Stegostoma tigrinum: one gene and its partners. The main gene of each other region encodes a partner of the protein of the gene in region 3 in a complex. Links are inferred from orthologs where the notes say so. Each region holds a gene or a part of one and is shown on either strand. Other genes may lie near its edges.

Region 1 (7,188 bases), on a different chromosome or scaffold from region 3:
TCTTTTTTTCAGACAAGATACTGGATTTTGACAGGTAGTTAAAATATTGCTGAAGACTTTGACTGTAGCATATACCTTTTCTACATGCAAGGCCAACTTGACACCGTTGTGTAGCCACGACAAGGCTACAATGGGGTCCCCGTCCACTGAACTCCCAACTGTGCTATCCCAGCTGTTTACCAGATGATCAGTCATACTCCAGCATTTCACCCGACCATCAGCATCAGCAGATAATAACCGAGAACCTTCAAAGGAGACAGAGTGAAGCAAAATAATATACATTTTAAATAGGCAACTCAATTCAAAAACATACATTTTAGTAACAATTATGATACCATTCAGTTCCTGAGCTAATTTTTCTTTCCAACTACATTAAATTTGAAGCCAGAAGATAATTCAGTCAACAATGTAGCAGCTATCCACATAAAGAAATGTGTATGTCATCTATTCATTATGAAGCATTGACCAGGGTGACCATGCCTCTGCGAAATATCGAGAAAGAGTTTTTCTCTGCATTTTGTGGTAAAATCAACAGTACGCTCTGCATTTTGTGGCTTCCATACATACAGCGTAAAGCAGAAACATTATCTCAACTTTCTACCTAACACATCTTTAAATGAGAGTACAGGCAATAGGGAAAAACATTGAACAGGTCAGATCTTAAGCCCTAAACTTTCTGTACCATCAGGCACCACCAATTAGAAAGAATAACTGATCTTCATCAGATTATAATTTGTTATGCATAGTTATTTATTTATCAAATTTGTGGTGCTCCTACATATCTAGACTTGCCTGTTCATTTCACAATTGAATCTTGTGGTGCTGGGACAGATTGCAGGTTCATTAAAAAAGGCTTACCAGATTGATCCCACTCCAGAGAAGTAATCACTTCATGATGACCTGAGTTAATCGAGTAAACATCCCAAGGATGTTCAGTATCCAAAATGTGAATCATATAAGTAAGATCTATAAAAAAGATACTGTTAGGAAACTCTGTACAGTCTCATTGCTAAAATATTCTCAATTAAGCCATGAATAAGCAAAATACCAAAAAATTCTGGAAACACAGAGCAAGTTGATTGGGTCTACATACTGAAAAAAAAAATACCAGGTTTAGGAACAAATGTAAAGAGAAAGAAAGCTCAATTTCAGGTGGACCGGTCAGCATTCAGTAAGAATGCAAAAGTTGGTACCTCCCACAAGACAGTAAAGCTTGGGGCTTGAACTCATTGTTGCAAAGTATTTATCAAGACCCCAGTATGTTGGAAATTCCTTTCCTTTTAACAAGTGCACTGCACTGAAATAGTTCAAGTTGGCAACACACGTCTAGTTCAAAATTTTGGTTATCATCTTTTGCAATTGTTTAAATCCTGTCAGAGGCAGAACATAGGGAAATTGTTTACAAGCCATTGGGTCAACTATCTTGTCGCATCAATATTCAACTGTTACGGCAAATGCTTTTAACTTACTCCAGTCCTCTGTTTTGACTTCTATTTAGAAGTTACAGTTTCCTAACAGCATCTTGGATATTTGTCATATTTGGTACAACTCCAGTATATTTGAAAGCTTTTCATTTATTTCTAGTTACACTTAAAAAAAAAAATTGGGTTGGAGTTTAAATCAGGAAATGTTATTTTAGTAAATAATCTAAAGCCAATCTCTCTTCCTCTTACTGCTGACAGAAACAAATTTAATTCTCACAATCTGCTGCTTTTGTAGCCACAGTAATTCTTTGAACCTATCCATTTTGATATTTACCAACAGACAGAACAAAATATCTTAATCCTCAGAGGTATGGGCTTTGCATTAAAACAAACTTGTTCAATAATGTCAAGTCAAAAGCATGCAGTGCAAGAAAAATAAATAAATATTACATTTATATAGGACTTTTCATAATGTCAGGATATCTTAAAACACATCTTGAAATAAAGCCACTATTGTAATTTGGGAAATGCAGAAGGCCAAGTTGTGTGGAGCAAAATCTCACAAACAATAATGCAAATGAAAACACTAGTCTGTTTTCAGACATTGATTGGAGAGATAAACAACAATTACTACACCAGAAATAAGCACCATACCCTGCCCTAAATTGTGCCTTGGCATCTTTAACATACATTTCAGAGGACCCCAACAATTCAAAGGTGGTACCTTCTCTCATGGCACATTATTCCCTGTTAAAGTGACTGATGTTTCAGCATGTATTTGTGCTCTACTCTTTGAAGTGAGGCTTGAAGGCACAAGTACCCCTGACCAAGCTGCAAAAATTGATAACTGCAGTATGATAGATTCTGATTAGGTGGCAAGGCTTTCTTTCCCTACATTGATAACCGAAACATAAGTTGATCACCTTAAATTACTGTTGAGATCTTATTCTCTGCAACTGGACTGACATTTCTGTTCACCTAACAACAGTCACACGCTGTTTACCAAGCTGCTTTCAAGTTTGCAAAAACTAGGTCAAAACGTTAGCGAATACTGGAGATACTTAAGAATTTTAACTCAAAATGAACTTTATTACATCTGAACAAATACAGTGAAAAGATGAGGCAGACCAGACCCAAAACCTGACCTTGTTCTTGCTCTTCCTCGTTCTTCAGATCCGTTGTGAAGGCAACCAGGTTTCTGCAGGACCAAGCACACACCAACTGTACAGACGGACAATAATTGCTCTTCGGCCGCTTCTCCCACTCACATACATACGCTATATCCATGTTTACTGTTTCCTCAACGTCCAGAGCGCAAAGGCGCCCAACCAGCAGCACACAGCGCGCAGGCGCGCCTCATCCTGTCCCACTCAGCGCAAGCGCGCCTCATCCTGTCCCACTCAGCGCAAGCGCGCCCATCACTGGATCGGCCTATTGACACGGCGCATGCGTTACTTAGGCGAGAGATAATGGGAACTGTAGATGCTGGAGATTCCAAGATAATAAAATGTGATAATAAAATGTGAGGCTGGATGAACACAGCATGCCAAGCAGCATCTCAGGAGCACAAAAGCTGACGTTTCGGGCCTAGACCCTTCATCAGAGAGGGGGATGGGGGGTGGGAACTGGAATAAATAGGGAGAGAGGGGGAGGCGGACCGAAGATGGAGAGTAAAGAAGATAGGTGGAGAGAGTATAGGTGGGGAGGTAGGGAGGGGATAGGTCAGTCCAGGGAAGACGGACAGGTCAAGGAGGTGGGATGAGGTTAGTAGGTAGCTGGGGGTGCGGCTTGGGGTGGGAGGAAGGGATGGGTGAGAGGAAGAACCGGTTAGGGAGGCAGAGACAGGTTGGACTGGTTTTGGGATGCAGTGGGTGGGGGGGAAGAGCTGGGCTGGTTGTGTGGTGCAGTGGGGGGAGGGGATGAACTGGGCTGGTTTAGGGATGCAGTGGGGGAAGGGGAGATTTTGAAACTGGTGAAGTCCACATTGATACCATTGGGCTGCAGGGTTCCCAGGCGGAATATGAGTTGCTGTTCCTGCAACCGTTACTTAGGCGATGCGGCTCTTTGAGATTTCACTTTGAATTGAGAACGTTTTGTCAATTAACGGATTTCTGTAGTTTTTAAATTATTGATAAATGGTAGAAAGTACAAACATGTTTACATGTTTTCCCTAGGCGATTAGTTTAAGAATCTCTGTTTGTGCAAACCTTCAGATTTTGTTTTTGTTTTGATTTTAAAAGAATGTTAGAATCAAAGGTGCAGTCCCTCATTGACCCATTCCAATTATTGAAGTGTTTATACATTTACTGGTACCTTAGTTAAATTACTGGGAGAATACAACAAATCACTCCATTATCTGAAAGTGAAATGAGAATATAAGATAACAAGGCGTGGAGCTGGATGAACACAGCAGGCCAAGCAGCATCTTAGGAGCAGGAAAGCTGACATTTTGGGCCTAGACCCTTCATCAGAAGGTCTGAAACGTCAGCTTTCCTGCTCCTAAGATGCTGCTTGGCCTGCTGTGTTCATCCAGCTACACTCCTTGTTATCTCGGATTCTCCAGCATCTGCAGTTCCTATTATCTCTGAGAATTTAAGCATATATCTTTTTGTTTCTATTTTACCATGCTGCGGTTTTTCTACATTTTATTTTACATTTTCAGCATTTCTACCCCCTTTCCAGATGCATTTTCCTTATTCTAACAACAGCTTCTCTATTGGGGCACATTAATAAAATATATAAATTTATATAGGCCAAATAGTTATTTGTTACGTGTGTATCACTTTTTAAACACAGGACTTGATACGTTTAAATGACTTTGTAACCTGGGGATCATTCTTGAAGAGAATGAATGTCACCTAAATAGTTTCTAAATCGTAATTGCTGTGGTGCAAACAGAGGCCATTCAGTCCATTGTCTGCAAAAGCCTCTCTGATCATTTCAACTTGGTGCCAAACTCTGCCTTTTCTCTGTAACCCTGCATATTATTTCTCTTTAAATAAATCTTGACATTTCCCATCAAATGTTTCATTTCAATTTACCTCTACCAGGCATTTTTAGGCAAAACGTTATGAATCAGAAACAAAAATAGAGATTGCTGAAAAAGCTCAGCAGGTCTGGCAGCATCTTAGAAGATCAACCATAGATAAAATTTCAAATTTGTTGACCCTTCCTCAGAATTGATGGTAGCTAGGAAAATGTTGGTTTATATGCAGAAGATAGCAGAGGGTAAGGAGTAAATGATAGGTGGGATAAAGCGCAAAGAGAAAGAAGAACAATTGGACAGATGAAGGGCTGGATAATGATCTGGTTAGGAGGATGGATAGCAGTTAATGGGGACCAACAATAGGTAATGGTGAAATGAAAGGGGACTAACAATAGTTAAAATATGTAATGGCAGGTTATATGATAATAAGGCCTGTTGTGTGGGGTTGGGGTCTAATCCATAGGAGAATTCAGGCCCTAAAATTATTGAACTGTATTGAGTCGGGAGGGGTGCGATGCACCCAAGTGGAAAATAAGGTATTTTTCCTCCAGCTTGTGCTGAGCTTCACTCAAACACTACAGCAAGCCTGAGACAAAGATGTTGACAGGGAACAGGGTGTTAAAGTGACAGGCAACTGGAAGCTTAGGGTCTTTTTTGCAGGCAGAACTTAGATGTTCTGCACAGATGTCACCCAGTCTACGCTTTGTTTCTGCAATGTAGAGGAGCCCACATTGTGCGCAACGAATGCAGTGGACTAGATTGTGTGAAGTGCAGGTAAAGTGCTGCTTCATCTGGAAGGTATGTTTGGGCCCTTGGTTGTTGAGGAGGGAGAAGGTAAATGGACAGGTGTTACACCTTTGGCAGTTACAGGTGCCATGGTGTTCTATGGGTTGCTGGGTGTTGTGACCAGGGAGTCACAGAGGGAACAGTCGCTGCGGAAGTCGGACAAGGGAGGGATGGGGAATATATGTCAGGTGGTGGCATCTCGCTGGAAGTGGCGGAAATGGCAGCTGATGATCTTCTGAATGTGGATGCTGGTGGGATGGTAGGTTAGGACAAGGGGAACACTATCGTTTTCTGGATGGAGGAGAAGGGGTGAGGGTGGAAATGCAGGAGATGGATCGGACCTGGTTGAGGTCCCTGTCAAAAACTGGAGAATCCTCAGTTGAGGAAGAAGATGGGCATTTTAGTGGCTGTCTTGTTGAAGCTGGCCTCACCAGAATATATGCAAAGGAGACAGAGGAACTGGGAGAATGGAATCTTTACAGGAAGCAGACTGCGAGGGTGTATAATCCAGGTAGCTGTGGGAATCAGTGGGTTTATAGTAGATATTAGTGGCCAATCTATCCCCAGATATGGAAACAGAGATGTTGAGGAAGGGAAGGGACAAGCCAGAGATAAACCAGAGATAAATGAAAATGAGGGCAGGGAGGAAATTGGAATCGATATCAATTAACTTTTCCAATTCCAAAGAAGAGAGGGAAGCAGCACTGATGGCATTTTCAATATATCAGAGAAAGAGGTGTGGGTGGGGTCCATAATAGGATTGGAACAAGGAATGTTCCATGTACCCCTGAAGAGACAGGCATACCTGGGGCCTAGACAGGTACACATGGCCATCCCTCTGACCTGAAAAAAATGAGAGGAGTTAAAAGAGAAGTTGTTCAGGCTGAGGATGAGCTCGGTCAAATGGAGGAGAGTGGTGCTGGGTGGGGACAGTTCAGGAAGAAGTGGACTGCCCTGAGACCATCCTAGCGGGGTTTGTATGTGTAAAGGGATTACACATCCATGATAAAGTGGAAGTGGCTGGAACCTGCAAATTGGAAATTCCGAAATTGGTGTTAAGCGTCAATGGAATTGCGGATATATGTGGGCAGGGACTGGACCGGGGAGAATAGACTGAATCAAGATAGGAAAAGATGAGTTCTTAGTTTTTGAGAAGATTTGTAGTTGTGTTGTGGATGAGGTTGTACACGTGCTGGGCAACCTTTTTCTTGTCCACATTTGCTCCTTTTACAAAACATTTTACAACTGTGCCTTCTGCATCTTGATCCTCTGACAAGTGAGAACAGTTTCTCCCTATCTATACTGTCCAGTGTCATGAGTTCGAAGGCTTCAGTCAAGTTTCCCCTCCACTTCCTCCATGGCAAGATAAATAGCCCCAGCTTCAGTAATCAGTCCTCATAACTGATGTTTCTCATTCCTGGAATCTTTCTCATAAACCTCATCTGCCCTTTCTACAATACATTCGCATTCCTTCCTATAAAGTCTGGTGCCCAGACTGTTTACAGTGCCCAGCTGAGGTCTAACCAGTGTTTTATATATGTTAATCATAGCCTCCTTGGTCTTGTACTCTCTGAACCTATTAATTAAGCCAAGAATGCTGTATGCTTTATCATTCGGCTGCTCCAGCTGTCTTGCCACCTTTAACATCCTATGTATGTATGCACTGAGTTTTGTCTGTTCCTGCGCACCCTTTAGAATATACCCCTTATTTCATATTGTCTCTCCTTTTCGTTGTACCAAGGTGTATCACCTTGCACTGCTCCACATTGAACTTCATCTGCCACCTATCTACCCAATCCACAACTTGTCACTGTCCTTTTGAAGTTCTGTATGATCATCTTGGCTCTGTTCAAATGTAACCCATCTGTCCTGTAAAGGTACCATCTCCCCCACAGCCAGTTCCAGAAATCTAAAACCTTCCCTCCTGCATCACCTTTTCAGCCACACATTCATCTTTCTTAGCTTTTTATTTCTGTATTCACTTTTACATGG
Region 2 (7,411 bases), on a different chromosome or scaffold from region 3:
GGAGTTTGAGGTCCTCCAGTTTCTCCTCTCGTTTTATGCTCCCGGGGCTTTTGATCAGGATGTCCAGTAAGTCCAAGAAGTTCACCAGGATTGACATGTTGAGTTTCTTGAGCTCTTTCTTGTGGTCGAACTGTGAAGGGTGGAGCCTCTCGATGCCCTGGCCCTCCAATGGACGGATGATCAAGTCGTCGCACTGGAACTGGTTGCCAAACATAGTGTAGCTGTCCCTGATGGGAGGTGGTGGCTTAGGAGCAAAGCCTTTGCGGACATTGTCGTCTGTGTACTCCTTATAGTACTGTGCTGGAGGCAGAGGCAACGCACTCACCTGCTGTGGCTCACCCATTGCACTCAATGTAACTGGATCTGCAAAAGGGGAAAAAAAAAGGAACAACCTCAAAACCTTGGTTTTAGTCTTCAATCCAGCAAAGTTGCCACTCAAAGCCTATCCTCTGGTTTTGTGTTAATTTTAAAATTCTCATCCTTGTTTTTAAACTCCAAGGCATCAGCCCTGCCTATTTACATAGCTTCACCAGCCCTAAAAGACCACTGAACCCCTTCAATCTCAGCCTCTTGTTTATCTCCAACTGTCACTGGCAACTGGGCCTCTGGCTGACAAGGCCCTGATCACCAATATCCCTCTCCTAAATCTCAAAAGCTCTGTTACCTCCTTTAAGATATTCATTAAAATTCATTTACTGTTATGTCCTCATCTGGCTCAATGTCAAAATCTGTCTGACAGACGTTCCTATGAAGCACCTGGGTTAGTTCAGGCACTGTGAACAGTTTGTGTTCAGAGATATAATACAATGCAGAGGAGGTCTTTCAGTCCACTGTTTGGCTGGCTCTCCAAATAAGCAATTCATCTTGTGCCTTCTCCACATAACCCTGCATTCGTCATTTCCAGATCATAAACTAATTCCCTTGTGTTTTGCTTCCCTCTTGCACGCCTGAATGGCTTATTATTCTGTGTATTGGTTTCAAGCAGATACTGACTAGGCCACCTCAGAACTTAATCACATCGAGTCTGTGTAGAAATCACAGCAGCCTCAGAATAATGCATACAATACAAAGTTTAAGTCTCACCAAGCAGCTCAAGAATTATTTAAAATGAATTGGCAATAAATTACAGCTGTCAGTATATGACCATGAAGCTGTCAGATTGTCATAAAAATCCATTCTGTGATCCAAGCCTTTATATAAAACATATAGAGCAGCACGAGAACAGTCCCTTTGGCCCACCATGTCTGTGCTGACCAGCATTCTAGGGCTACATGGTGGCTCCATGGTTAGCACTGCTACCTCACCGTGCCAGGGACCCAGGTTCAATTCCACCCTTGGACAACTGTCTGTGTGGAGTCTGCACACTCTCCTCCGGGTAATCTGGTTTCCTCCCACAGTCCAAAGATGTGCAGGTTAGGTGGATTGGCTAAGCTAAATTGCATGTAAAATTCAAGGCTCTGTAGATTAGGTGGGTAAAAGGGGCATGGGTCTGGTTGGGATGCACCAAGAAGTGGTGTAGACTTGTTGGGCCAAAGGGCCTGTTTCTACACCGTAAGGATTCTAATTCTAAACTAATCTCATCTGCCCACACATGGTCCATATCTCTCTAATCCCTGCCTGTTCATGTGTCTGTCTAACTGCCTCTTTAATGTTTCTAGTATATTTGCTTCTACCACCGCCCCTGGCAATGTGTTCCAGACACCTACCACCCTACGTGTAAAAACTGTTCTCACATCTCCTTAACTTTCCCCATCTCATTTTAATCCTATGCCCCCTCGTATTTGACATTTCCACCCTGGGGAAAAGACTGACTACCCCCATCTGTGTCTGTAATAATTTTATTTCAGGTCAGCCTGCAGCTTTTGATGCTCCAACGAAATCAATCAAAGTTTGTCCAACCTCTCCTTATAGCTAGTACACTCCGCTTCCCAGACCGGGGAAGGGGGCGTGGATTAACCTCCACATCCCAGATGGGAGGGGATTAACCCCCAGACAGACAGCAGATATTAACCCCTTTTCACAGACAGGAGGTATTAACACTTTTCCCCCAGACAGCGGGGGTTAACCCCCTCCTAGACCAAGGGGGGGGGGAATTAAACTACAGACGGGGGGGGGGGATTAAAACCCACACAGACGGGGGGGGGAAGAGAGAATTAAACCCCACACAGACGGGGGGGGGGGGGGAGAGAATTAAACCCCACACAGACGGGGGGGGGGGGGGGGGAGAGAATTAAACCCCACACAGACGGGGGGGGGGGGGGGGGGGGAGAGAATTAAACCCCACACAGACGGGGGGGGGGGGGAGAGAATTAAACCCCACACAGACGGGGGGGGGGGGGGGGAGAGAGAGAATTAAACCCCACACAGACGGGGGGGGGGGGGGGAAGAGAGAATTAAACCCCACACAGACGGGGGGGGGGGGAGAGAATTAAACCCCACACAGACGCGGGGGGGGGATTAAACCCCACCCCATTCCCATTCATACAGTGGAGGGAATAACACGCCCCTACCCTCCACAGACATGGTGATTAGGTAACCCACTCCCCACCTGACCGGGGGAAGGGGGGAACGGGAAACATTCTCTCCCCACCCCCACACAACGGGGGGGTACAGGGATAACTAGAAAGGGAGGTGCGGAGGCCGAATCTCTCTCCAATGATCTAGGACTAACCGCCTGCGGAGTTCCCAATGTTGCGGTACAAAACCGTGGGGAAGATCTCAGCCGCCGGCGCAGAGCCGGGCTCGGAGAGGCACAGGCCACATCCCCGACCTCGCGTACTCACCGCCACCGCCGAACGCCGTGGCCAGGCCAGGCTAGGCCAGCTCCCATTGGTTAAAGCAGCCGCAAATCGCGGCACGGTACAGCGTCCCATTGGGTAGATAGGCTGCCACTCACAGTGACGTAGCGAGTCAGCGCCCTTACTCGGGGATAATGAAATGTGAGGCTGGATGAACACAGCAGGACAAGCAGCATCTCAGGAGCACAAAAGCTGATGTTTCGGGCCTTGACCCTTCATCAGAGAGAGGGATGGGGTGAGGGAACTGGAATAAATAGGGAGAGAGGGGGAGGCGGACCGAAGATGGAGAGTAAAGAAGATAGGTGGAGAGGAGAATATAGGTGGGGAGGTAGGGAGGGGATAGGTCAGTCCAGGGAAGACGGACAGGTCAAGGAGGTGGGATGAGGTTAGTAGGTAGATGGGGGTGCGGCTTGGGGTGGGAGGAAGGGATGGGTGAGAGGAAGAACCGGTTAGGGAGGCAGAGACAGGTTGGACTGGTTTAGGGATGCAGTGGGGGGAGGGGAAGAGCTGGGCTGGTTGTGTGGTGCAGTGGGGGGAGGGGACGAACTGGGCTGGTTTAGGGATGCAGTAGGGGAAGGGGAGATTTTGAAACTGGTGAAGTCCACATTGATACCATTAGGCTGCAGGGTTCCCAGGCGGAATATGATTCCACATTAAGCAGAGGTTCACCTGCACATCTGCCAATGTGGTATACTGTATCCATTGTACCCGGTGTGGCTTCCTCTACATTGGGGAAACCAAGCGGAGGCTTGGAGACCGCTTTGCAGAACACCTCCGCTCAGTTCGCAACCAACTACTGCACCTCCCAGTCGCAAACCATTTCCACTCCCCCTCCCATTCTCTAGATGACATGTCCATCATGGGCCTCCTGCACTGCCACAATGATGCCACTCGAAGGTTGCAGGAACAGCAACTCATATTCCGCCTGGGAACCCTGCAGCCATATGGTATCAATGTGGACTTCACCAGTTTCAAAATCTCCCCTTCCCCCACTGCATCCCTAAACCAGCCCAGTTCGTCCCCACCCCCCACTGCACCACACAACCAGCCCAGCTCTTCCCCCACCACCCACTGCATCCCAATACCAGTCCAACCTGTCTCTGCCTCCCTAACCGGTTCTTCCTCCCACCCCAAGCCGCACCCCCATCTACCTACTAACCTCATCCCACCTCCTTGACCTGTCCGTCTTCCCTGGACTGACCAATCCCCTCCCTACCTCCCCACCTATACTCTCCTCTCCACCTATCTTCTTTACTCTCCGTCTTCGGCCCGCCTCCCTCTCTCTCCCTATTTATTCCAGTTCCCTCTCCCCATCCCCCTCTCTGATGAAGGGTCCAGGCCTGAAACGTTAGCTTTTGTGCTCGTGAGATGCTGCTTGGCCTGCTGTGTTCATCCAGCCTCACATTTTATTATCTTGGAATTCTCCAGCATCTGCAGTTCCCATTAGCCCTTACTCGGGGAACTGTTGCAGAATCGCGCATGCGCATGTCTCAATCCTTGTTTCATTAACAGGAAATGAGACTGGGGGGAATTAACACTCCCTCATGCACACATTGGTAATTAGCTGACTGTTCCCACCAGTGACTGGGCAGCATTTATTACCCAGGGTCAGCCACATTTCTGTCGGACTGGAGTCACATGTAGGCCAGATCAGCTTTCTTCCCTGAAGAACATTAGTGAACCAAAAACAAAGTTGCTGGAAAAGCTCAGCAGGTCTGGCAGCATCTGTGGAGGAGAAAACAGAGTTAACCTCAGGGAGGTGAGCCTCCCTCAGAACTGAGGAAGTAACTTTGCTTTAGCTCCTGATTTACAGCATTTGCAGTTCTTTTGGTTTTTATTTAGTGTTTAACTCACTGCCACATCTCTTCCAGGCATGCCCACCTTGAAGAGGCTCTACTTTCTCCGATGGGATTTCAGTTCCAATCTCTATTCGTGCCTAGTTCTGAGGAAGGGTCACCAGACCTGAAATGTTGACTCTGTTTTCTCCTCCACAGATGCTGCCAGACCTGCTGAGTTTTTCCAGCAACTTTATTTTTGTTCCTGATTTATAACATCTGCAACTCTTTGGAATTTTTATTAACATTAGTGAACCAGATGGGTTTTTCCTCCAACCTTTGACAATAGATTTGTGGTCATCATTAGACTCTTAATTCCAAATATTTATTCAATTTCCACCATCTGCTGTGGCAGGACTTGAACCTGGGTCTCCAGATTATTATCTGAGTCTCTGGATTAACAGTCCAGCTATAATACCACGAGGCGATCGCCTCCCCCAAGTACAAATACACTGTCCCACCCCAGGGAACCCTTGTAAACTCTGACACACTTCACTTGTGCTTTCTCTAAATATTGACATGCTCCCTAGACTACACTTCGTTGGTTGTCAAAGCTTTGAGATATTCTGTAAAGAAGCATTATATAAATGCAGCGATTGTAAGAACTGCCGATGCTGGAGTCTGAGATAACAAGGTGTAGAGCTGGAGGGACACAGTGGGCCAGGCAGCATCAGAGGAGCAGGGAAGCTGATTTTTTTTTTGGATCAGGATGCTTCTTCGGAAAAAAAAATTCTGAAGGGGGTCCCAACCCTGAAACGTCAGCTTTCCTACTCCTCTGATGCTGCCTGGCCTGCTGTATCCCTCCAGCTCCACGCCTTATTATATAAACGCAGATCTTTCTTGATGTGAAAACTTAGCACAGCAGTGCCTTCACTGGCAATGGGCGAATTACAATTTGATAACAATACGTGTGTTAAGTTAGAATTTATAAGACAGAAGATGCATGTGGAAAGCACATTTTAAATATATAGTAGTTAGACACTAGATATTATTTATGATTATGTATGTCCACATCTTTTACATCCATCTTTTGTTGTTCTATATCAAATACAAAAATCATAAGTTTGAATAATATTCACTGTCTGCTATTTGGAAACAGCCAGCATTTTAGAATTAGAATTAGAATTAGATTTTTATTGTCACATGTACAGGGATGTAGAAGTACAGTGAAAAGTTTTCAATGGCGCCATCTAAGACACAAGGAACCTAAGTACGAAATCTTAGATAAAGAGGAAAAGAATGAAGAAATAAGTTAAAAGTTCAACATTACAGCTCAGGTCAGTATAAATCAGTGATTACGAAATAATGTTAAAAGTTAATGCCGTTGGTCCCAGTGGAGGGCGATGTCACTATGCAATCCCTTGGCTGTGCTGGGTGGCAGTGTTGGGCCATGTGTCAGTGCTCTTCCCCTCAGTTATGTCCTCAGTCTATTTCAAACTTCTTGGTGGACATTGAAGTAGGTCTGAAGAATAGAGCCAGTGTTGTAATGTGTGTGTTTGTGCTTCAGCACCAAAGATCTGAAGCCTTTAGCTTTTCGCCACCCTGTCAGAGAATTACAAGCCTGGTAGACCCATGTCTCCCTCTTCCTGAGAAGACCAAACATCGACATTAGGAAGCTGAGGCTGTGAATCTCAAGCTTGAATACAAGGGACATTTATCAGTTACATTGATACATTGGTGAAGTGTGGAGATTGGAGCAGTTCTTCTCAGTACAGAGAATGTTAAATGAAATTTGAATGAGGTGTTAAAAATCACAAAATGTCAGACTGAAATGTCAGCTTTCCTGCTCCTAAGATGCTGCTTGGCCTGCTGTGTTCATCCAGCTCTACATCTTGTTATCCCAGATAGCATGAAACTATTTCTATTGGCAGAAGGGTCAAAACCGTAAGACCACATGACTGGGAGATGATAGCCTATTGGTATTATCACTAGACTATTAATCTGGATACCCAGGAAATGTCGTGGGGGAAAGGACATCACAATGGCAGATGGTGGAATTCGATTTCAGTATTTTAAAAAATCTGTATTAAGATTCTAATGACCATGAAACCATTGTCAGGGAAAACCCTATCTAGCTCACTAACGTCCTTTATGGAAGGAAATCTGCCATCCTTAAATGGTCTGGCCTACATATGACTCCAGATCCCCATCAATGTCCTGCCCCCTTCTGAAAATGCTGCACTTTGCTCTCTCAGGGTCCAACCCTAACTTTGTTTCCAAACCAGTTGACAAAGGTGTTGCTATTGTCGTCTGGAGCGCTGACCTTTATCTTGCAGAGGCTCAATGCCATCTCTCTGACACTTCCTCCCACCTGCCCCTGGACCATGACCCCACATACGAACATCAACCCATCATTGCTAGGACTGTCACTGATCTCATTACCTCAGGAGATCTCCCCCCTAGTGCCTCCAATGTTCTCACAGCGCCTTCCTTGTAACTGCAGAAGGTGCAACACCTCACCCTTCACTTCCTCCCTGCTCACCATCCAAAGGCCTAAGCAGTCTTTCTAGGTGAAGCAGCATTTCACAGCAATGTGGATGACTCTTAACTGCCCTCTGGCAATTAGGGATGGCCAATAAATGCTGGCTATAGTCAGTGGTGGCCATATTCCATGAATGAATGAGAAAAAGGAGCAGATGTAGGCTACACAGCCCAATGAGTCTGCTCTGTCATTCAATGACATCATGTCAAATCTGATAACCCTCAACTCCACTTCCCTGCCATTTCCCCACAACCTCTGATTCCTTTAATAATTAAAATTCTGTCTAGCTATCCTCA
Region 3 (7,129 bases):
ACAGCAATCTTCAGCCTGAAGTGCCGAGTGGATGATCCATCTCAGCCTCCTCCAGTGGTCCCCAGCATTACACATTCCATGCTTTCAGTTAATTCAATTCACACCATGTCATATCAGGAAACAGTTGGAGGCACCGGATTCTGCAAAGGCTATAGCCCTGAAAACATTCAGCAATAGTACTGTACACCTGAGCTCCTAAACTTGCAGCTCCCCTTGCCAACTCTTCCAGTACAGTTACAACGCTGGCATTTATCCGATAACATGGAAAATTCCCCAGGTATATCCTGTGCCTAAAAAGCAGGACAACTCAAACCTGGCAAATTATCACCCCCATCAGTCTGCTGTCAATCATCAAGAAAGTGATGGAAGGTGACGTCAGTGTTATCAAGCAGCACCTGCTCAGCAGTAAACCAGCTGATCCCCAGTTTGGGTTCCACCAGGGTCAATCAGCTCTTGACTTCATTACAGCCTTGGTTTAAACATGGACAAAACAGGTGAATTCCAGGGCTGAGGTGAGAGTGACAACTCTTGACATCAAAGCAGTATTCGACTGAGTGTGGCAAGAAGGAGCACTAGCAAAACTGGAATCAAGGGGTATCAGGGCAAACTCTCTGCTGGTTGGAGTCATACCTGACACATAGGAAGATGATTGTGATTGTTGGAGATCCCAGAACAACTCTGCAGGATTCCCTCAGGGTACTGTTCGAGGCCCAATCATCTTCAACTAGTTCATCAATGACCTTCCCTCTATCATAAGGTCAGAAGTGGGGATGTTCACTGACAACTGAAATGTTCAACATCATTTATGGCTCCTGAGATAATGATGCAGTCCATGTTCAAATGCAACAAGATCTGGACTTTATTCAGTTATGGGCTGACAAGTGGCAAATGGCTAGTATCATTCATGCCATACAATGCCAGGTTATGGCCATCACCAAAAATAAACAGTCTAACCAAGGCTCCTTGACATTCAGTGTTAACGCCACTAAATCCCCCACTGACACCATCCTTGGTGTTACCATTGACCAGAAATCAAGAATGTGATGGAATACTCTCCAACTTGCCTAGATAGGTGCGATTCCAATGACACTTAAGAAGATCAACATCATTCAGGACAAAGCAGTCCACTTGATTGGCATCACATTCACAAGCATCCACTCCCAAAACCAACAATGCTCAGTAGCAGATATATGTTTGATCTACAAAATGCACAGCATAAATTGACCAAAGACGGTCGGGTTGAAAGGCTGAGCAGGCTTGTTGGGCGAATGGCCTAATTCTGTTTCTTTTCCCACGGTCTTAAAACAACTTCCAAACATACCACTTCTACCTAGAAGGTTGAGGATTGCCAATACATGTGAACACTACAACCTGCAACTGCCCCTCCACGCCACTCACCACTCTGACTTGGAAATATATCACCATTCCTCCACTGTCGCTGGGTCAAAATTCTGGAATTCCCTCCCTAATGGCATTGCGGGTCAACCCGAAGTAGGTACAAGCTCACCAGCACATTCTCAAGGGCAACTAGGAATGGGCAATAAATTCTCTCGCTCTCTTTCTGGTGGGTCTCACTCTCTCCCCACTCCATCCCCCTACTGGTGCCTCACTCTTACTAATGTTAGCTCTGTCTCTCTCCTCTAACCCTAACAATTTCTCTCTTGCTCTCTTTAACCCAAAGTAGATTTCTCCCTCTTCCTGTTATCTCTCTGTCTAAACCTAACCCAATTTCTCTTTTGACAACATACGTTTCAGAATTTTAATAACTGTACATGGACTGGAAAAATTAACTGAGCTAAATCGGTACACATGGATTGAAAGAAACGGCAATAACTCGAGATAAACTGTTTCTAGAGATGAAAGGAAAACTGTTTCTAGAGATGAAAGGAAGAATGAGAAACTGTTAGAAAAAGGGATTACAGCGACATGTGAATTAACCACCCTGGGAGAAAAGAGCTACAGGAACAACATAAACAAGCTGTTTCCTGGGAGACAAGAGATAACATTATTTGACAATCTGCTGCCTCATCACATTTGGGCAATTTAGACCTGCCTGCAGAAGTAATGTTTTGAAGAGGGGGAAAAAAGCCATGTTTCAAAGAGATCTTAACGCAACGGGGAACAATGGAGCTAATTTTTTGATATGAAGGCAAGCAGCAGACTTGAAATCTCCAGAAGTGTAATCAATACTGGGGATGAGCAAACCTAAAGGATATCAATAATGTCATACTGCGATCTTGACAGACAGAAAGTTGTATAAGAACCCAACACCAGAACGACTCAACAGCAGAACTAAGAAGAACAACACTAGAGAAGGACCGAACCCTGGAAACCTCCAGAGATACAACACTGTTGGTTGGAAATCTGGCCAAATTTCACCATTAATTGGGTACTGAGTAAATTTAGTCACAGGCTTATACTTGCTCAATAGTTTAAAGTATTGTTTCAGTACTTGATTGTCTGTGAGATTTCCTAATAAGTTGCTGAATTAACGGTAGCTTGTGGTGATTTACTCATAACAGGCACTCCTTCACTCACTCCTTCCTTCCTTCCTTCTCTCCCTCCCTCTCCCTGGTGTATCTCTCTCTCTCTCTCCACCCTATCCCCATCTCTCTAACCCAATATCACTCACCACCACCTCCTCGAAGATGCTTTGGAGCTGTGTCTCCATGGAAACCGCCATCTCGCGGCCCCCTGCCACCGCCGCCGCCTCCCCTTCGATCCACGGAAGCCTTGAGCAGTTTCCGCTTCCGGGATGAGCCGTTCCGTCTCCTCTCATCCTCCGCCGTGCTCCGATGGCCTCCGCACTTTCTCAAAACAGCTTCGTTTCAAAGTTTCCTTTCCCCGTTTGCAAGTGCGAATTCGAATCGAAAAATAAAAGCAGTATTCCAAACGATTCACTTACACATTCAGATTTCAACTACATACGCTGTAAACTGGCGGAGACTTTTACATTCAGCCGGTGCCTCGTTGAAAGCAGCGACAGTGAGTGAGGCCCCGGCTTTCCTGTTTGCTTGAAGACTGAACGCCCAAGGCCACTGCCCCCGTGCGGCACCTGGAGGAAACAGCAAAGCCCTGTGTCAAATTGTGAATTCCACCTCAGACACCACCCAGAACTTTACAAATTCATTCCCGTGCCCAAATTACCCTCAAATTTCCCCCAAAAACCTCATTTCGAATCGATCCAAAAATAGATTGGGTGCGAATCTATGTCGGAACCCAGGAAAGCACTTAAACCGCAGGCTATATTCCTTCTTTATGCATGGAAATTGAAGTTTCGACTCATTTCAGCATTGTTCTTGCAAGGGAATTTTTTAAAAAAATTTCATTGGAAGTGCGCCTCACTGGACAGGCCCACTTTTATTAACCATTCCTAATTGCCTTGCAGGACGTGGTAGTGAGCTGCCTTTTTGAACTGTTGCATTCCACCTGAAGTAGGGATGCTCACAATACTGAGGTAACAAGGTGCAGAGCTGGATGAACACAGCAGGCCAAGCAGCATCAGAGGAGCAGGAAGGCTGACGCTTCGGGCCGAGACCCAAAACATCAGCCTTCCTGCTCCTCTGATGCTGCTTGGCCTGCTGTGTTCATCCAGCTCTACACCTTGTTATGTAAGATTCTCCAGCATCTGCAGCTCCGACTATCTCACGCTCACAATGCTGTTTGGAACAGAGTTCTAAGATTTTAACCCATCAATAATCGACAAACAGCCTTATATTTTAAGTCAGAATGGGGGGAAATTTGCATGTGATAGCCTTCTCATTTTCCGTTTTAGTAGTGCTGGGTTTGGGAGATGCTGTCAAAGGAGCCTAGGTGAAGTGCATTTTGTAAATGGTACACACGGCTTCTACTGAGCTTAGGCGGCAAATAAAAATGTTGCTTAAAGTATCAGATTACCTGTGCCTTGTCGATACTGGACACGTTTTGGGGAGTTAGGTTTACTTGCCTCAAAATTTCCAGCCTCTGACCTGCATTGGCAACCATACTATATGGCTGGTCTAGCTCTGTTTTTGGTCAATAGTAACTTCCAGGATGTATATAGTCAGAGATTCAGGAATGGAATTGCCGTTAAATATCATGGGAATGGTTAAATCTCTCTAATGGGAGATGTTCACTGCATGGCACTTGCATGATGTGACTTTTATTTGCCAATTCATAGCTCAAGCCTAAATATTCTCCAGATCTTGCTGAATATGAATTAAGACTACTTCAGTAGCGGAGGAGTTGTAAATGACCCTGACTTTGCACAATCATTAGTGAAAATCCCTATTTCTAACTTTATGATAGATTGAAGATAATTGATGAATATCGTTATGAATATGAATATCGGACACTTAACTGTGGAGCTCTTGCACCGGTGCCCTGTGACTGCAATAATTGGCCTCTAACAAGCATAGCCACCTTCTTTTCTGTTTAATATTCTCCTCTGGTGAGTTTTTCATGTGATTGCCATTGACTTCAATCTTACCATACTTAGTCAATATGTTGCCTTGATATCAACAGCAGTCACTGTCACCTCAATCATGGAATTCAACACTTTTATCCATGTTTCAATCAAATCTATAATGAGGTCAGCAGCCAAGTAGCCCTGGTGGAGGCCAAATTGAGCATTGGTGAGCAGACATGGAAAAGGCAGCAAATGAATGTGCAATAGATTGGAGTTGTGATCTGTGCATTTTACTTTTAACCCCTCTGCACAGACCCTTTTCTAATTGAGGTGGTGGGTGAGGTAAAGATTAAGTGTCGAGTATCAAGACAAAATGAAGGAAGTGAATTACAGTAGGATGACAGAGAATACAGGGTGATAGAAGGTGGGGCAGAGCACATTGAGCTAATACAAAAAGTGACAGGAGCAGGGATGAACTTACACAATCGTGTTGACTCCCTTAGGAAACCATACAGAAACACTATATATGCAATGTTCAGTCTGTTGTGATGTTGATTTTCTGTAAAATCTTATCACAAATGTTGCTGTAAACTCAAATTATGATTATTGACTATTGTTATTTACCACTATTATGGTTTAACTGCCTCCACAGAAAACTTTTATGCACCATTTGAAGTTAGATTAAGAAAGTTCATTATTCGTGGTAAAACCTTATTATATTTTACTTTATCAGTAAGCCATGCAGATTAATATGCATGGATTCAGTTTACTTAAAAATCCTGTAGAAGTTGATGCAAGACTACGACTTGTCACAGATATGTATCTGAATTCTCCGCTAGCATGCTTCTAATGGACTTCACGTGGCAATTGGTCTGCAAGTTACTCTCTGATATTTGGTTCATGAGCATATCCAGCTCAATTCAGTTCATAAAAAAACACAACTTGTTATCAAGTAAGAGTTAAATACAACAAATTACAAGTTACAATTACACCACAAGTGAAAATGCATATATATCAGAACAAAAAAAATCAAAGAACTGCAGATGATGAAAATATAAAACTGAAATTACAGGAAAGACTCAGCAGGTCAGGCAACATCCATGGAGACAAAGCAGGCATAATGTTTCAGATCCAGTGACCCTTTGTAGAACTGATTGTAACCAGGAAAAGGCCTCAATTTCTCTACCCCTCCCCCTTACCCAGTCAAACTATCTCCCTCTGAACTGACTGCAGACCGTGCTGTCAATCCAACCCTGACTTTGCAATGAAACAATCCAACCTGCTGACAAGAGTGGTGCTGTTGTCTGATATGCTGACCTCTACATTGTGGAGGCTGAGCACCAGCTATCAGACACCTCCTTCCATCTCCCCCATATCATAAGACCACCATGAAACACCAGGCCATTGTGGCCACAATGGTCACTAATCTAATTTCATCTGGAGATCTCCCCCCAATCCAATTCCAACTCCGCACAGCTTGCTTCTACCTCCTTCCCAAAATCCACAAACAAGACTGTCTGAGCAGACCCACTGTTTCTGCCCCACAGAATTCATCTCTTTCTACCTCAACTTGATTTCTTTCTCCCCTTGTCGAGTCTTTTCCCACTTAGATCTGTGAATCTTCTGAAGCTTTACATCAGTTTCAGAATTTCTAGTTTGCGGGCGTCAGCCGCCTCCATTATGGATGTGCAAGTCCTTTACATGTCCATCACTCAGGCTGAGCTCAGGGCTTCTTCTTAGAAAAAAGGCCTGAACTGTTCCCATCTATCACCATCCTCGTCCTCTGCCTGGCCAAGCTTGTCCTCATTTTGAATAATTTCTCCTTTAACTCCTCTCACTTTATTCAGGCCAAAGGTGTGGCTGTGGGTACCTGAATGGGCCCCAGTTATGCCTGTCTCTGTGGAATGTGTGGAACATTAGTTGTTCCAGTCTGACTCCAGCCCTACTGAAACTCTTTCTCTGGTACTTCAATAACACCATCAGTATTGCTTTCCTTTCTGTCATCTGGAATTGGAAAATTTCTACCTCACCCTCGCCTTCACCTGTTCCATCTCTGACTCCTCCCTTCACTTCCGTGATATCTCTGTTTCTATTTCTGAGGAATGGCTGACCACCAGTATCCAGTACAAACCTGCCAACTTCTATAGTCACCTGACTATATATCCTCACACCCTGCTTCCAGTAATGACTCCATTCCATTCTCCTGGTTTCCCTGTCTCTGTTGCAAGTGTTCCGATAATGCCAACAAGGGGTCCAGCAAAATAGCCACCTTTTTCCTCAACTGAGAATTCCCCATCACCGTGTGGATAATGCCCTTAGTCATGTCTGACCCATCTCCTACAATTTGACTCCTTGTCCTCACTTACCACTCCACCAGCATCCACATCTAATGGATCATTAGCTGTCATTTCAGCCAGCTCCAGTGAGATTCCATCAGTAGATGCATATTACCCTCCCCTCCCTTGTCCTGTGTTCCACAGCAACCATTCCGTCTGGACACCTTGGTCCACTCCCAACACCATCATGGCATCTTCCCATGCAATCTCAGAAGGTGTAACACCTACCCATTTACTTACTCCTTCCTCAGCGTCCAAGATCCCAGACACACCTTCCAGGTAAGTGCTTTACTTGCACTTCACTCAGTCTAGTACAATGTACTTTCTGCTTACAATGCAGTCTCCTCTAGTTTGGGGAGACAATATATTTTGTCTGTAAAAAATGACCCTGAGTTCCCATTGCCTG

What was found. The genes of interacting proteins can lie anywhere in the genome.
Region 1: med23 (region 3) and med16 share a complex: the UniProt entries of both Homo sapiens proteins name them as parts of the mediator complex. The link is inferred for Stegostoma tigrinum from reciprocal best matches to the Homo sapiens genes MED23 and MED16.
Region 2: med23 (region 3) and med7 share a complex: the UniProt entries of both Homo sapiens proteins name them as parts of the mediator complex. The link is inferred for Stegostoma tigrinum from reciprocal best matches to the Homo sapiens genes MED23 and MED7.

Annotation. Positions count from the first base shown.
Region 1 is NC_081383.1:28,124,227-28,131,414, forward strand, and holds the start of med16 (mediator of RNA polymerase II transcription subunit 16), read right to left. Parts: upstream 3,005-7,188; 5' UTR 2,712-3,004; coding exon 2,570-2,711; intron 967-2,569; coding exon 859-966; intron 246-858; coding exon 76-245; intron 1-75. UniProt on the Homo sapiens protein: Component of the Mediator complex, a coactivator involved in the regulated transcription of nearly all RNA polymerase II-dependent genes.
Region 2 is NC_081366.1:12,401,050-12,408,460, reverse strand, and holds the start of med7 (mediator of RNA polymerase II transcription subunit 7), read right to left. Parts: upstream 3,005-7,411; 5' UTR 2,874-3,004; coding exon 2,672-2,873; intron 364-2,671; coding exon 1-363. UniProt on the Homo sapiens protein: Component of the Mediator complex, a coactivator involved in the regulated transcription of nearly all RNA polymerase II-dependent genes.
Region 3 is NC_081357.1:71,147,718-71,154,846, forward strand, and holds the start of med23 (mediator of RNA polymerase II transcription subunit 23), read right to left. Parts: upstream 3,022-7,129; 5' UTR 2,780-3,021; coding exon 2,633-2,779; intron 1-2,632. UniProt on the Homo sapiens protein: Required for transcriptional activation subsequent to the assembly of the pre-initiation complex. Component of the Mediator complex, a coactivator involved in the regulated transcription of nearly all RNA polymerase II-dependent genes.